2 linked regions of the Drosophila melanogaster genome follow. The gene in region 2 interacts genetically with the main gene of each other region. Each region holds a gene or a part of one and is shown on either strand. Other genes may lie near its edges.

Region 1 (7,875 bases), on a different chromosome or scaffold from region 2:
ATCGTTGTTTTATTAGAAATCAATTCGTTTAGGTTTGCAAATTTGACTAGCGATACACAACTACTCTCTACTCTAGATCAGCGGCAAAAGCAAATATGCAAATGTAAATGTTTTTCACACAAAAGTTTACCTTTTGACCAGTCCTTTTTAGGCTGAAAACTAAAATCACATCCACACACAATTTCTGACCAAACACAGAACTGGCAGCAAACTTACCTGTAGCACACGTGAAATGAGAATAGATAATTTTTTCGGAATCTGGATTTAAATCTACAAACATTCGCAGTATAAACTCTCGGGCCGTTATTGCATCTCGCTGAGGACCTGTTTCGATAAGAAGGCGAATATGAAGTTACGTCTAGCGTGGTTCTACGAAAACTAGCAAATAATCTACGGATGATATTGGCGATTTAAGGCAATTACATAGATCTTAAGTACATAAGGTGAAAATCCACCTGTGGCCGTTGTGAAATGCGAATAGCATTGACGTTCGGGATCTGGATTGCAGGCCAAGTACTTTTTCAGAACGAACTGTTTGGCCGCAGCGTGATCCTGTTTTGGACCTGGTTCATTGCCGCATAAAATCGTACATAATTATGGCCACCTTTATCATGCGGAACACTTACCATCGTATTCAGGAAAATAGTCTACCAAATGCGAATACATTATTTTCTCTTCCAACAAGTCCTTCTTATTCAGGAAAAGAATAACTGACGAATTTTGAAACCAAGGGTATGTAATTATAGTACGAAATAAAGCTTTAGATTCCTCCATTCGATTCTGTGAAAGCGTACAGGTGATTATTTGTTTAAAAAAAATATATTCATAACTTGAAATCATACCTCATTATCAGATTCAAACAAGATTTGATCGTACTCCGATAGCGCTACCAAAAATATAATTGATGTCACATTCTCAAAGCAATGAATCCACTTTCTTCTCTCGGATCGCTGACCACCGACGTCTACCATTCTGTTTATTAAGAAAAATATATTATTGTAAGAAAAGTTAACCAACAAATTAACTACATATAAGGCCAAACATACAAGCATTTAATTCTAGAGCGCAAGCAACGAATCTATTAGTAACTAAATTGTAAGAAATCGTCTTCACTAGCTTTACAATGACCATTTACATTACTAGCCTTGCCGGTAATTACCAATTGATATTTTTAATAGATACCTAAACACAATGCCATCCAAATCGAATGGATACTCAAGAATGCCAGTTGTCGGCACTCGAGCACGCAGAATATCCTGCTCGGTTGGCAAGTAATCAGCCTGTTCAATTCGAGCTAGATCGCTCAAGTAGCTAAATTAGATAAATTAATACACTTTTAAAACAATGAACGGAACCAAAAGCAGTGGCAAAAATAGTTTTGCAACCCGTCTCAGTCCATCAATTTCGCTGAAGGCCCTAACTAAGTCCCTGAATTGTTTGCTTGAAGAGACATGCGCTAAAGAAATTCTTAAGTGTGTAGTTACAAAGTACAAAATAAATTTTAACCATAACCAAACAAGAGGTCATGCACATGCAACGAAGTAAGGGTAGAAAGATGGTATGTACCTAAATCTGATTTCTTCTAAATCAAAGGGATACTCAATTATCCCTGTTGTGGGCACACGAACTCTTAAAATGTCTTGCTCAGTGGGTAAATATGCAGGTTGAGCCACACGATCGAGATCCTTCAGATAACTATACATAGACAAGATAATTGATTTAGTTTGCATAGTCGTTTCGGTAGTTTCAGTCTCTTCAGTTCGTTTTTCGGTCATTTTGCGGACGGATTTAAACCGTTCCCTTTGCATGCCAACGGTTAACTTACTATTTGGCTGAATCAGTCAGCTGATATTCCCTACGACGATCATAGCACTCCTGGATGCCAGCATCGTCCCAAAGCGTTTTGATGGCATTCAAGTATGGATCCTCGAACGTGGTAACGGTCTCATAATCGATGCTCATCACCAGATCGGCCAGTTCCTGTGGATCGTAAGATGTTGTTTAAGATTCAGTGACTTCAATTAGATCAATGTTTCACTTACACTATGCTCTCCCTGGCCGTAGGAAATCTTCAGCATATCCATGGCCTTGATCATTGACTGCATGGCCATGAATATGTTCTGAAAAACCAGCTTGATGTACCCACGCTTGTCCTCGTCCGAGTAACCGCTGCCGTGGATAATACGCATCTGTTTGATGAATGTGGACTTCCCGGACTCGCCAGTGCCTGGGGATATAGGATTGGAAAATATATATAGCCATAAGCGGCGGGCAAACAATGCAATTAGCGAGGCGGCTTCAATTGCATTAAGCCAGGCTAAGTGCAATCGAAATGGGCCATGCTCCACTTACCCAGTAGTAGCAGTTTAAGCTCGCGGCGCGCATCTCTCTTGTCCCGGCGCAACTGCTTCTCGATTTCCTGATTGATGCGCTTTTGTTCCTTGGCCTCCTCCGATAAACAGCACTCCATGCTAACTAGATTTATAGACGCTTTCGCGTGCTGCTGCCACTACGCTCGACAGACCGTTCCGTATATAAAATGTATGCTGTTTGGATGGTGGGATGGTCTCCTGGACTCCCTTCTCTGGACCCTCGGACACCTAGCTAATTGGTTGTATGGCGGGCGTTGAATTCACCCGTTCCAAGTTATAGATTCTGTTGTAGTTTCGATTGGTGCATTTGTACTTCGGCTTTGCTCGCTCTGCAGACCTCCTCCAGCGCTTACGATCCAGGCTCTCTTTGGCTATTGCTATTGCTAATTACGGGTCTACGCTAAGTTCTTGACCAGATTTCGGTGACTCGGAGGCTGAGAGTGATGGTTACTAATGAACAAAGACCACATCGAACGATCCAAGAACATCTGCAAGGAGACAAAGCTTTGATTTAGTGCTTGCATAACCGAACTGTAGGATCTATCCAACTATTGCTGCTACGGACCACCACAGTTGTTGGCCCAACGAGAGTTCGCCGCGTTGTGTCCCGTGCTGACAATTAACATTTCATATTTGCTAGCCTGCCCCACTAGCTGGCGACGTCGATGACGACGTCGGATATAGATTGCCCATGGCTACCCATGACTACCCCGGGACTTCCTCTGACCATGGCATTGGCTTTGGTTCTAAGTTCTGGGCCTGCTCTCTCTGCGCAGACCTGGGATCGCCCTCTACCAGGTGGCAATAGATTGAGGAAGCGTTCCCCACAATGCCCCTCAGCCAAGTTCAATGCAAGAAAGCTGATTTTGGAAAATATATGGCTTCGCTGGCCACAAGTTAGCGAGAGTGTTCTCCTATTGGGTGGACCAAGCAGTCTATGGATAAGAAGAATTGGCATATCATTCTAATTCGGAAATAAAAAAGTCACATACCGAAACTTATGATGCAAAAACACAGCTCTATACACAAAACTGGAATATCATTGCATAAACTTTAAAACTCTTAATGTACTTTTATCGTTAAAAGATATGAGTCCACCCGAATCCGCGGTTCATTCATGGGTTCAGCATAGGGCATGCCTATAGAATATAGCCTATAACCACTGGTGCTATTTCCTCTCTTTTCCAACCCCTAGTTTATATATCGAGTGATGGCTAATCCAATTTCGTTTGGCGAACACATTGACATGGGTCGAGGTAAGGCTTTCAGCATGACCACTACCAAATATCGATGGAATACCTAGCAATAATTTTGACAAAAGTCTGACCAGGAGAATTTGGCGGGCTCAGGTGGGCGAATATGGAGATCTGGATAATGATGGCTAGACGCATAGTATTCGGGAGGATTAGTGGGCTGCACTCGGAACACATTGCTCGCTGAGCAAAGCCACAAAATCGAATTAGCAGTGGCAGCAAAATTCAGGGGCAGGGGCACGCAATTGGCGCAATGAAGCGTTTTTTAACAATAGTTTGCCAGATATATCATGCCACCAAATCAGAGGGAGATTTACCTACCGCGAACTGGTCTTATCTGCCTTACATATTGTATATGCTGATGATAAACCACTCTGAGATAACGTTTGATTTGACTTCTTAATCTTTAGACGACTACTGCTCTTCTGAAAATCACTGTTCTAATGCAACCCATTTCCGAAAAACCATTTCTAAGCCGGAAATAGCTTCACGTTACTCATGCAGTTCCTTATCGCATCCTCAGCCTATTTTTGCTGGAGAATTTATGAGCTCATATTTTAGATACAAAAGTACCCTTTCATTATGATGAAAGCATGGCTTTTACACAAAATAAATATATTCGAATGGATTTGAATAAGATGGATGACAATCCATTAAACTCGCCTGGAGAATAATTCGATTTTTGGATTATAATATATTTCGGCCAGTTTTTAGTGGCAACCAACAAGTGGTCGGAGTCAAAAATTAACCACGAAATTACGATTCTTGTATTCAATGAGCATTCAGTATTACTTACTTAACATTACGGAGACACGGGACTAAAGGTATTCAGACGAGATTCTCCAAAAAGATGTTCCGGTTATCGTCTCGATTTGTTTTAGCTACCACTATGTTATACAAAAAATATTGAATTTCGGGTTTTAGTACGCCGATTGAAGTTCTTCCGGATTGATCGTGTTCTTTTAATTTTTGTTTTTGGTTCCCTGCCGATGTTCGGTCTGTTTTAAATATTTTTAGTTTAATCACGCGATTTGCTTTGCGGTGCGTTGGTTGGTCTTACGTTTTTTAGTTAGCTTAAACTAATTTCAAAAGCATTTCGTTTTTAGTTGGTTTGCGGTTTGGAAAACATTTGTTTTTAAGGAACGTGTGTAGTTGGTTATATATTTTTTACTGGTGCTTTTTAATATAAAAGTTACGATAACGTCTGTTCGGCTTCCTTTTAATGTAAATGTGTGATACGATACTATTTATATATGTAGATATATATCTATATATAATTTTCCCTTTTTGCTTCTAGTTTTCGGTGTGTATGAGTGCTGTTGTTGTTGTTGTTCTTGGTTTTTAACGTTTCTTCTTGTTGTTGTTGTTTTTAAACACCAGTCTGTAAATGCAACGAAGTTTCAACAAATATTCATTGTAGTGTAATTGAAACGGAAAAGTATGTACGACGACAACGACGACGACGAGCGGTCTTCAAATTGATTTCACACGAAACACTTAGTGGCTCCTTTTGTATTTAATTTTCTGCATATTTTATGCTTCTTGTATTTGTTTATTTTTCTGTATGCAGTGGAACTGCAAGTAAAGAAGAGAGACAGAGAGATAAGGAGAAGAACGATGGGGGGGGGGGGTGGTATTATGGGTGGTAAGGTGGGAATATGCATTCCGGAAAATCATCATCATACTGGCTAAGGTAAACACACACGACCCTCAGCTACCATTTTTTTTTTCATTTTTTGGTTAGCCCACCCGTTTTAAGCCCAAAAATATGCACAATCCACTATGTAGTTACGCGACCCCAACTAACTTCTCGCTGGCATGCACCGTTTAGTGGCAAAAGAAAACCACATTGAGTTAAACAAACTATTTCTTTTTTAAATTTCTCAACTTTTTTCCTATTCGCAGTGTTTTTCTCGGGCAAGCAGTGCGACTTGCTGCGCACTGCTTTACGAACGAATACACACAAATATAAGCGAGGGCGTTAACGAAACGAAAAAATTTTGATAGCAATGCGATTCGAAGATTTCGCGATTCGATTCGCCGTTTGTTTAACAATTATGGGGGGGCCTTGCTTAATGGCCAGCACTGTTTGGCGAAAAAATACACTTTACACTGGCATTTCGGGGAACGTTTTCGGTGCTGCTAAATTTTTTTTTTGTCGAGGGGGGGACTTTTTCGGGTGGCTGCCAGGCGGCTGCGGATGGCGACCGCTGGCTGGCGGGGAGTCCGTTTGACGGGGATCTTGCTCGAAACTCACAACATATTCGATTTGGCATCGCTCGCTACTCACAACATATTTAATTTTGCATTTTTCGCTAACGTTGACGCACGACCCGACTTTCGATAGCAGGAGGCGTTATTTGTCCGAACCTATCGGCCCTATCGTTCGTCGATATCGATGGTCAAACCAATCGGACGGCATTTGAACTAGTGGTGGCAAGATATCGATGATGGAATAGATGCTCTTAAATCAAAGTCTTCATTGTATTACATAAGGAAGGAGTTTTATTTGCCGCATAATAACTAATAGAAGTGGTTTATAACAAATAAAAACGGATTTCCTGGCAGTTCAGCTTAATTTGAAAATATATTACTTTTGGTATTTTTTAGTTGCCACCCCCACCACAACACATGTCGGTGTTGCCATACGGATTTCTATTCATGTGTGTCAATACACATTCTTAGCAATAAGGTTGGCAACGCCTTACATCCTTCAAATAAGGATGGCAACGCCAGACATCCTTAAAAATAAGGATGGCAGTGCGCCATATTCTCATAATTCAGGATGGCAATGCCTGATAGCTTTAGGAAAGACTGAAAATGTTGTGTCCTTTTCACTCTCTAACAACAGGGAATACACTTACCATGCACTTCCATATTCGTTAAGCTGTGACCCGAACCAATGACTATGATCGTAAATTTTAAATAACTAAATATATGTGTGTATAATTACCATTTAGAACATAAAAAATGCGAATATCGTAAAACGCCGGTCAATCGTCAAATTTACAAGCACTTTCTATCTTCGAAATCAGAAGACATTGCCCGCCAAATCAAAAGACTTGTATTATTTAATCTATGTTTTATTGGCTTTCTGTAAATTATTATCATTTGTTCAATATGTTCATGCGATAAATAAGTGTTTAAATTAATTAAATAAAATTAAAATAATAACTTTACAGTGTGTGCACAATTTAAACAATTATTTCGGGTTTCGTGTGATTTACAATCGAGTTAAATAAAATAAAAACATCGAATCGATCGGTTAGTGACTATTGGATTGTGTTCGCGTTATAAAGCTGTAGCTAGTTCGAGTCTCTCAAACGAAAAATTAAAAACCAAAGTACAAATTAAAGATACACGTAATCGCTAAACGTTAATGTTGTTACTTGAAACAATTTCCAAAACTTCGGGGACCACAGAGGAATTACATCTGGCCTTTTTGCATCGCCCCAAAAATACATTCAATTGACTATAAAAAACTCGTACTACATATTTGCAAAATTCACAAAATACAAAAGGTTCAGGCTGGCTATCTCCTCCGACTTTTGATTTGTTTAACAATTACTCTAGCTCTCGAGTGATATGTTTTACATTTGTGGTTTGCCATTAACAAATTACAAATTAGATACGTTTTGTTCGCATTAATTATGAGCACAATAATAGGATTAACAAATAATATATGTATACGTAGGTTTATGCTTTAGGTTTTCTTGAAACTTAGAACTAAAAAATAATGTTTGAAACATTTTCAAAATATTCTCTCTCTCATTCCTCATCTGTGTGTTCGTTCTTCTTTGTGTTAACAATAACAATTTTATGGTTGGAAGCACTGCCCTAACGAACAATCGCTATAAATGGATTGCCAGTTACCGAATACATTTCACAAAACAAGAATTTATTAATTGGACAAAAGCAAAAGCAGCGCTCACAAAGAAAATTTGGCCAAAAGTTTGTATTTGGATTTGGACCTCCGTTCGTAAAGATTTTTATGGTTGATCTGAAGTTGCTGATGGTTCGTTGCTAGCCCAGTTGTTCCCCAGTTTGTCGCTTCAGATGGGACGCGTGAAGTTGGCGGGGAAGAGTCCCTTCTCGTTGGTGCCCTCCTTCTGACCCATCAGCCAGCCTTCCTCCTGTAAATTGGCAATAAAGAACTGAACTCAATATAGACAGGAAGTGCTGAGATCTGCATTTGGCGCGGAGGGGGAAACTAGCGCGTGCAAAGCTCAAAGGAATGTGTATCTCCGGAT
Region 2 (7,859 bases):
AAGGACTGCACATTCTGCACCGCGAATCCCTTGAAATTCGTGCACTGATGAAAGGCAGGATCCATCATAAGCAGCGATTGTGTTTTTTGGTTTGACAAGCCAAAGAAAACCTCGCCCTGTACGTCGAACGGTATTTTAATTTTAACGCAGGGAGACCGCTGAATGGAGTTTAGAAGCTCCATGTGACACATATTGGCGCTTTCTCCGAAGAAAACTCCATCCAGATCATTGTCGGGTATTATTTGGAACTGAGGAATCCCGGCGTTATTTAAAATCTTACATGTGAACACACACTTCTTGCGCGGATCCTTGGGATGGGCGTAGATTCGTGTGGCCACATATCCCACGGGATATATCCAGCTCTCAGTGTGAAAATTGGGATTCACTGATATAATCTCGCCCAGTGAGTGGAGTAATACATTATTTAGGTTCATCGGAAACATGGGCTTCTTTTTCCGTACAATTGTAACATTTTTTGGCTTATCTTCGACGGGGTTCTTATGCGAAACTACAGGACTGTATTTCTTTGTGGTTTCAGCGGCGTCGTTTTTTCCATTCGAGACACTGGGTCGTCCACTGTTGGATTTCTCCAAGCCCTCGTGAAACATGAGGCGCTCTATCAAGTAAAGTCTTTGGGATCGGGTCACAGATAGTTCGGCCTGCAGACGACAGATCTCATCCGTGAGGGCGGCGTTCTCCTGAAATTGGTATTATAAAGTTAATAGATCATATAACTTCCCGTAAATGTTTTATGCTATAATGTAAACATATATGTGAGTAGGAATCTTAAGGTTTCTTGTAAATACTCTTAAGTTTGCATAACTTCGCCCTAGTTTCTAAGATCTTACCAGTAGATAACTCTTGACGGAGCGTTTTAAGCTCTCGTAGCGCCGCTTATACTTTAAATTCATTGCTTTTTAATTTATAATTTCAGCAAAAACAAGAGATACGATTTGTTTGTTGTTATTGCCGTGGGTTTGTTATGATTATCGGACTGCAGGGCTGCCATTCGTAAGTTATCGAAATACGGTATTCGGTAGATTCATTTATGTTGGTATATCTTACATACCAAATTAATAAACAAAACTGATCTAATCTAATCTTTGTTTATTTTAAAAGATATAAATAAAGTTTTAAAGGGTGCGAAAAAAACAAACGGAGACGTTAATTCGAATTGAAATTAAGGAAATTCCTAATGGATTTGCAAATCCTCTTAGCCTAATTCAATCTGGCATTCTGACCTTGCAAAGGACTTAATCATGTTAAAAAGTTACTTCCGGCGCTCGGAATTAAGGATATTTGAAAAAATAAGGTATGTTTTTAAAGTAGTTAAATAGTTGCGCACATAATTTAGCTTGGCATCTGAAAATGTGCCTTAAAGTGCGTAGTTTGACCATGGAAGCACCAGTCTGCAAAGGTAGTTACAAGAATACCAACACCTAGCCCTTCAAGAGTATATGTACATAAACAGGTGTGCGTGAGGCTTACCACCATTAGAACCATTGATGATTGGTAACTTCTTAATGGATTTTCATTCAACAATTTCAAGAGTTACAAACTATAAGTTTTTAAAATCATTAGCATGAGAGCTAGAAAAAACGTCCGATCACCATGGCAACAGGTGTCTGTCTGTATGTATCATCCCGTTCCTTCCCATTTCCCCACTTTCGCCCAATGTTAGATACTACAAACATCCATAGCTCATTATAATGTGTTTGCGATAGTGTAGGGAAGAGCGTGTGAATACCACTGAGAAAAATCTACGTCGGAGAGCAGCTTTGGCAATGAATCACATCGTTTGTTCGTTTCGGTTTCGGTGCAAATAAGCCGTTAGTATGTTTCTACACTCCGGTGACACTTGTTGGATTCCGATTTCGATTCAGTGCCTCTGAAGCTAAAAACGCAACATCACAATGGACGAGGAGCAGATGTGGAAGGGCTTCTTCTTCAAGTTGCAGGAGCTCAAAATGAATCCACCCACGGAGCATGAACACCAGTAAGTTGGATGAATAAAATACAGACTCACGCATACCTGTAGAAAACTTGAAAACTCACCGATAGACAAACATTTGTTCGCCAGACGAGCCGAAATGTGTGTTTCTATTTCTCTAGACAAATATGAACATTTTGGAGAACTGGAACTGTGTCATCAGATAAATTAAAGATTATCAAGTGAAATTAACGTGTGTGCGTGAGGAATGGCAAGTGATGTAAGGGAGTGGGGGAAGCCACAGATCGATTTTACCACCCACTCGCAACTAAAACATGACTCAGTTTTAGGGTATTTTTCACTGGGCTTTCAAATACATCTACATAAGCTTGCTCATAGTACGAGTATCCCTAATCGAAATGAAATCCCCATTAAGTGATGACTAGCCAGTGCAGATAATATTTAATGACTTTTTTCGAATTATTTACTAATTGCACTTTTTCCGCAGACTGCAAGACGGAGATGATGGATTTTTCGAAAAGTTTGGATCCCTACTGCGGCAGAAGTCCCAAATCGATGAGGGCGTCCTCAAAAGTTCACTGGCTCCCTTGGAGGAAAATGGCAGCGGCGGAGAAGAAGATTCGGACGAGAGTCCCGATGGCACTTTGCAACTCAGCCAGGATTCGGAGTGCACCAGCATCGATACCTTTGCCACCGAGAGTACACTGGCGTCCAGTTCGGACAAGGATATCAGCACTTCAGTTCTGGACTCGGCGCCAGTGATGAATGTAAGTTTTGTAATTGAGAAATCAGTGCTGTGAATCAGGTTGACAAAGCCATTAAAAGGTCACAACGAATCAGACAATCAAACTGCATTCCAACTGGTGCAACTAATAGAGCTCCAGCTTATACTAAACGTAACCTATAGTTTAATCATAAGATTACTAAATTATTTATTTAATTTAGTATCTTACATACTCCCAAATGCGTACGTTAAGAGATTTTTCATATTTATACATGTGATTCATACGAGCTCTTGTGAATTCGTAAAACTCAGTTTAAGGATGATTTATGGTTTAATCCGCCCTAATATATATATACATATATATTCATGATAGAGTATTGATAATCGCCGCTTTACGAACTCGTTTTGAATTGTTGGGTTAGTATGCACTGTAGCTTTTAGGATTCGAGTGAAAGTACATCAAGATAAAGCTCCGTCATTCAGTTTGGGTTTTACCAGGTCGACTCCCAAACTAGCTATCCACCATGGTGGGTATTGGTGAATATGGATGGCTTTTGAGCCTGGTCACATTCACGTCATGTGTAATTCCTAGGCCCGACTACCGAGGAAGTTGCGACATAGGTCAGTTTTCCAGTTTGCAGCGCGGCGTAACGATCGCCTACGAGTTAATTCAATGTTTTATCTTGTGCCAACATTTTGCTGTTCGCATGTTTGCCGTCTGGGCAGGTGTAGTTTAATTGAACAGAAACCGAAAATGAAGTCGTGTCCATAGAAACGAAACGCTTGCACAATAAACAAAAGAACTTGCCTATATAGTCGGACTGTATAAACAAACCGAATAATGTATACTGACAGCATAAACAAGCACTGCAGAACATGCAAACATTGAAGAACCCTAGAGCGGCCAATTGAAGGGAGGCGGGGAGAAAGCTTAATGTACTTTAGAAAATACATTTTTCATTACCACCTTGAGCTTTTCCTTTTTGTATCCGAAAATAGACCATTTTCTCTTAAGATTGCTTTATTATTGCTCACAAACACTTGGCCATCATCGTGTACATACGAGTATGCACAAATACACCAAGCAATCTGAATCGAATTGAGCGCATACACTTTTTATCTCATGGTCAACGTCAAGATATTTCGGATATCGCAAAGATTTCCCACACCGGACGCTATTGTACTTAGCTACAGACTCTTCTCCGAAGCGGTTGTGTCCAGTCGGTGTTCCTGAGTCCGTGGGTGTCCACGATCTGTCCACCAGCGCATCCGATCGTGCTCGATAATATGTGCGTCTATATCGAATTGTATATTTGCCAGAGAGTATTTGCCAAAAATTTCAATTTCGCTTGCACCTAGAGAAAAACATTGAAAAAGTGGAGTGATCGGTTAGTGGCTGGGTTCGATCATGAGCTACCTATCGCTACCACGTGTTCTGAGCAAGTTCGGCTCCCAAAACCACAGTTCGTCTAACCAAAGTTCGAAAACCAATAGCCTAACTAGATCCAGTACGCGCACCGGATGCGACGAAATCAGACTGCCGCGGAAGGCATCCTCCACCCAGTCGCTCAACAAACCATTCGAGCGACGGATGAGCATACTGAATCGGAATGGAAGCATTTCCAGTCGACACTTCCGTGGTGTCCACAAGCATTTACTTGATTCCCATGCCAAGGCGGTCTGCCACTCGATGACCGTAAGTAGAGAACGAAGTTTGGATGCTATATCTAGATATGGATATATCTGTAATCCATAATGAACTGATCTTAAGAATATCCGAGGGAATCGGTTCATCAGTGCCTCGGTAAACAAAAGCGATTGTATAAGTTCATTGATTTGGCATAATTGTTGAGTCACTCGAGTTAAGTGCACAGAGTATTTCAGTGCTTAAATACATATATTTATGTACTTGTTTTTTTTTTGCCAAAATCATAATTGAAAATTATGTAAAGTGTAGCTAGAAGATACCAAAAAAAAAATCAGCGAAAATGTGAACATTCTAAGAAGTTTATTGATTCGAATTTGGAGCTAAGTCAATATTTATGTTAGTGGATAGTTTATGGGAATGATAAAACATTTCACTGTAGCGAGCATCCAGTAGATACTTATATAGAATGTATCTAAGCAAACATGACCTCAGCTGGGTCTGTTTTTCCAATTTCCCTGCGAAGATTTGTTTATATTTCCGTATTCTGGAATTTGTCGATATTTACTTAGGCTTTGACCTTTAGAGAAGTGACTTATTTCTATTTTTGCTCAAAGAAATTAAAATACTTCACCGATTAGATGGTTTATAAATGTCGCCTGCGTTTTGGGATTAAACTAATTGTTGCCTTTGCTTTTGCAGGTCACAGATCTCTATGAAGAGATATTATTTGAAATTTTCAACAACATTGGCTGTGAAAACAACGAAGAGTGCACAAACAGTTTGGTCGAATTCGTGCAGGATGCATTCAAAATTCCGAACGCCACTCATGAGGAAATTTATGAGGCGGCGCGACTGAAAGAACCGCCCAATGTTAGACTAAATGTCGAGATTATAAAGGCCGAGAACCTCATGTCCAAGGACTCAAACGGCTTGTCCGATCCGTTTGTTACCCTGTACTTGGAATCGAATGGCTCCCATCGATACAACTCATCGGTCAAGCCTGCCACATTGAATCCCATATGGGAGGAGCACTTTTCACTGTGAGTCTTGATTATTTCGTATAAAAACTGATATATATTTGTTAATGTTTATTTTCTTGCTAGGCCAATTACTGAAAATGCTCGAGACGAAGTTCTTATCGTTGAAGTGTGGTAAGTGTGACTTTGTTTGCATATTGAACTCATATAACGCACTCATAAAACCTACGTTATCTGGCTGATAACGTTTCTTGAACTCTAAATTGCACTTATCGCGGATCAATAGGTTTATGGTCTGAAACTAACTAACTCGAAGGTATGGCATCTTAAAAACTCATCATTCTTTTTGAAATATGTTTGAGTAGTTAAAGTAAAGTACGTTGTGTTAGTTTTATAACATTAGAATTTCATGCTAGAATCCCATTTATCTATTTTAACGCATGATTCCCATTTAATATTTTACCTTTTTTCAGGGACTTTGATGCTGCGGAAACCGTCAAGGAAAAAGTCAACAAAATCCTGGATGTTAAGGGTGTGAAAGGACTTAGCAAGCTGATGAAGGAAATTGCTGTAACAGCTTCCTCGGGAAAACATGATAATGAACTGATTGGGAGAGCTGCAATTACATTGAAGGTAGGAAAAGATCTAATATTATCAAAGATCTTAACACTAAAAAAAAAACACACATATCCTTCAGTCTATTCCCGTTTCCGGCCTCACCGTATGGTATAACCTGGAAAAGGGAAGCAAGGGACGCAGTCGAGGATCACTTCTGGTTAATCTGGCCTTGAGTGCGGAGAAGAACAAAAGTGTCGCCGTTCAGGAGCACAAGAACCTACTGAAACTGCTCCTGATGTACGAGCTGGAAACCTCGCAGGTGGCCAACTACTGGTGGAGCGGCAAGTTCAGTCCCAATGCCGAACTCATTCGATCCCAGCATGCTGCCCAGAGTGGGCTAACTCCTTTCGACTGTGCGCTCAGCCAGTGGCACGCGTACAGCACCATCCATGAGACGCACAAACTCAATTTCACACTATTCAATTCAATTCTGGACGTGGTGGTGCCAGTGATTACTTACATGCAGAACGACTCCGAGGATGTGAAAACATTCTGGGATGGCGTGAAACGACTGCTTCCCTCGTGCTTCGCAGTGCTAAGGAAACTAAGATCCAAAAACACCAGTGATAAAAACATAATTAGAGCTCTGAACGAAGTTCTGGATATTCTAAAGAAGATTAAGGAGCTGGAAGTGCCGGAGAGTGTAGACATATTCCCCAAATCGGTGTATGGTTGGCTACACACAAACGACACTGATGAAACGTGCAATATTGATACTGCCATTGAGGATGCTATCAACACGGGGACAAGGGAATGGCTGGAGCACATAGTGGAGGGCAGCAGGCAATCTAAGAACACCGAAACCGATGACGAAAAGCTGCAGTACGTCATTAAACTGATACAAATGGTGCGGTCTGACCTGCAACGTGCAATGGAATACTTCGATAAAATCTTTTACCAGTAAGTTTTACAATTGTGCATCGATGAATCAATCAATCATTTATTATTTACCTTGTTCATTTCCAGCAAAATTCAGCTTAACTATTCCGCTGTACTTTATTTATTTTATGACTCCAAGCTTGCTGAAATCTGTAAATCGATTATAATAGAAGTGTGCAATAATATTAAGAGATTGGATGTGCCAGACGATCAATTCGAATATTTACCCAACCTTGAGAATGTAAATATGGGCACGACTTTGTTTGAAGTCTATTTAATACTCAAACGTTACGTTCAATTAGGTAAAGTACTGAAGTCCTCACTCTTAGCAAATCACTAATTGATTTTTCTGTTTACAGGAGAATCTCTTTGCTCCGAGCCCCTGGAACTGTCCAACTTTTACCCGTGGTTCGAGAGGGGAGTTACCCACTGGCTGGATATTTCAATAATTAAGGCATTGAGTCGCATCCAGAAAGCAATTGATTTGGATCAGCTGAAAGCGGTCGATGAAACAGTGAAATACAGCTCCTCGGCAGTGGACACACTTTCCATATTCTACCAAATCAAGATATTTTGGCAACAACTTGACTGGCCAGAGGTCGAGGGTTCCTACATCTTCGTAGCCAAAATCGTCAATGTGAGATTGAATACAAATATAGTTATGTTATCTTTACTAATTATTATAATTTTACAGGATCTTTGTCGCTGCTGCATATTTTATGCCCAACAGATGTCCCGCAGAGTTGAGAATATTTTTATTGCTGATGATAACAATAAAAATTTCAGTAAGTTCTATTGGAAACCATTTTTTATCATATATTGTTTGTATTGAATTTATTTATTTTATAGTTTTGTCGGAGGAGTGGTGCATAGCGATAAACAACATGGATTACATCCGGCAGAGCTTACCTTCATTCATAAAGGTAGAGGTTTTATTTACCTAAATCAAACAAATTTATTGAAAACAAATAATTTATTTCAGGAACTTAGCATTGATGACATTATCAAGAGATTGGGGGAGTATCGAACTAACTTAGAGGCTGAGAGATGCGCAAGCACCAT

Evidence for each region. Genes that interact genetically often act in the same process or in processes that back each other up.
Region 1: of stac (region 2) and Galphaq, changing one suppresses a phenotype caused by changing the other (phenotypic suppression), as found in Drosophila melanogaster (one study listed by BioGRID).

Annotation. Positions count from the first base shown.
Region 1 is NT_033778.4:12,610,892-12,618,766, reverse strand, and holds the start of Galphaq (G protein alpha subunit q), read right to left. Parts: upstream 6,028-7,875; 5' UTR 5,921-6,027; coding exon of another isoform or gene 5,916-5,920; exon of another isoform or gene 5,888-5,915; coding exon of another isoform or gene 5,883-5,887; intron 5,201-5,882; coding exon of another isoform or gene 5,110-5,200; exon of another isoform or gene 4,422-5,109; intron 2,981-4,421; exon of another isoform or gene 2,938-2,980; intron 2,861-2,937; 5' UTR 2,471-2,860; coding exon 2,353-2,470; intron 2,228-2,352; coding exon 2,043-2,227; intron 1,981-2,042; coding exon 1,826-1,980; intron 1,696-1,825; coding exon 1,567-1,695; intron 1,312-1,566; coding exon 1,183-1,311; intron 973-1,182; coding exon 843-972; intron 781-842; coding exon 627-780; intron 564-626; coding exon of another isoform or gene 456-563; intron 325-455; coding exon 217-324; intron 1-216. Other genes in the region: CG45086 (uncharacterized protein), read right to left, coding at 5,110-5,200, 5,916-5,920; Amph (amphiphysin), read right to left, coding at 7,678-7,758.
Region 2 is NT_033777.3:25,055,187-25,063,045, forward strand, and holds the start of stac (staccato), read left to right. Parts: upstream 1-1,832; 5' UTR 1,833-1,913; coding exon 1,914-1,996; intron 1,997-2,438; coding exon 2,439-2,718; intron 2,719-3,894; exon of another isoform or gene 3,895-4,083; coding exon of another isoform or gene 4,084-4,371; intron 4,372-5,022; coding exon 5,023-5,363; intron 5,364-5,426; coding exon 5,427-5,474; intron 5,475-5,773; coding exon 5,774-5,933; intron 5,934-5,997; coding exon 5,998-6,818; intron 6,819-6,884; coding exon 6,885-7,099; intron 7,100-7,156; coding exon 7,157-7,434; intron 7,435-7,491; coding exon 7,492-7,582; intron 7,583-7,646; coding exon 7,647-7,720; intron 7,721-7,779; coding exon 7,780-7,859. Other genes in the region: CG31111 (uncharacterized protein), read right to left, coding at 1-698, 849-911. UniProt on the Drosophila melanogaster protein: Essential for tracheal development in embryos. Functions with the GTPase Rab39 and downstream of dnd, to regulate lumen fusion between previously separate tracheal branches (anastomosis).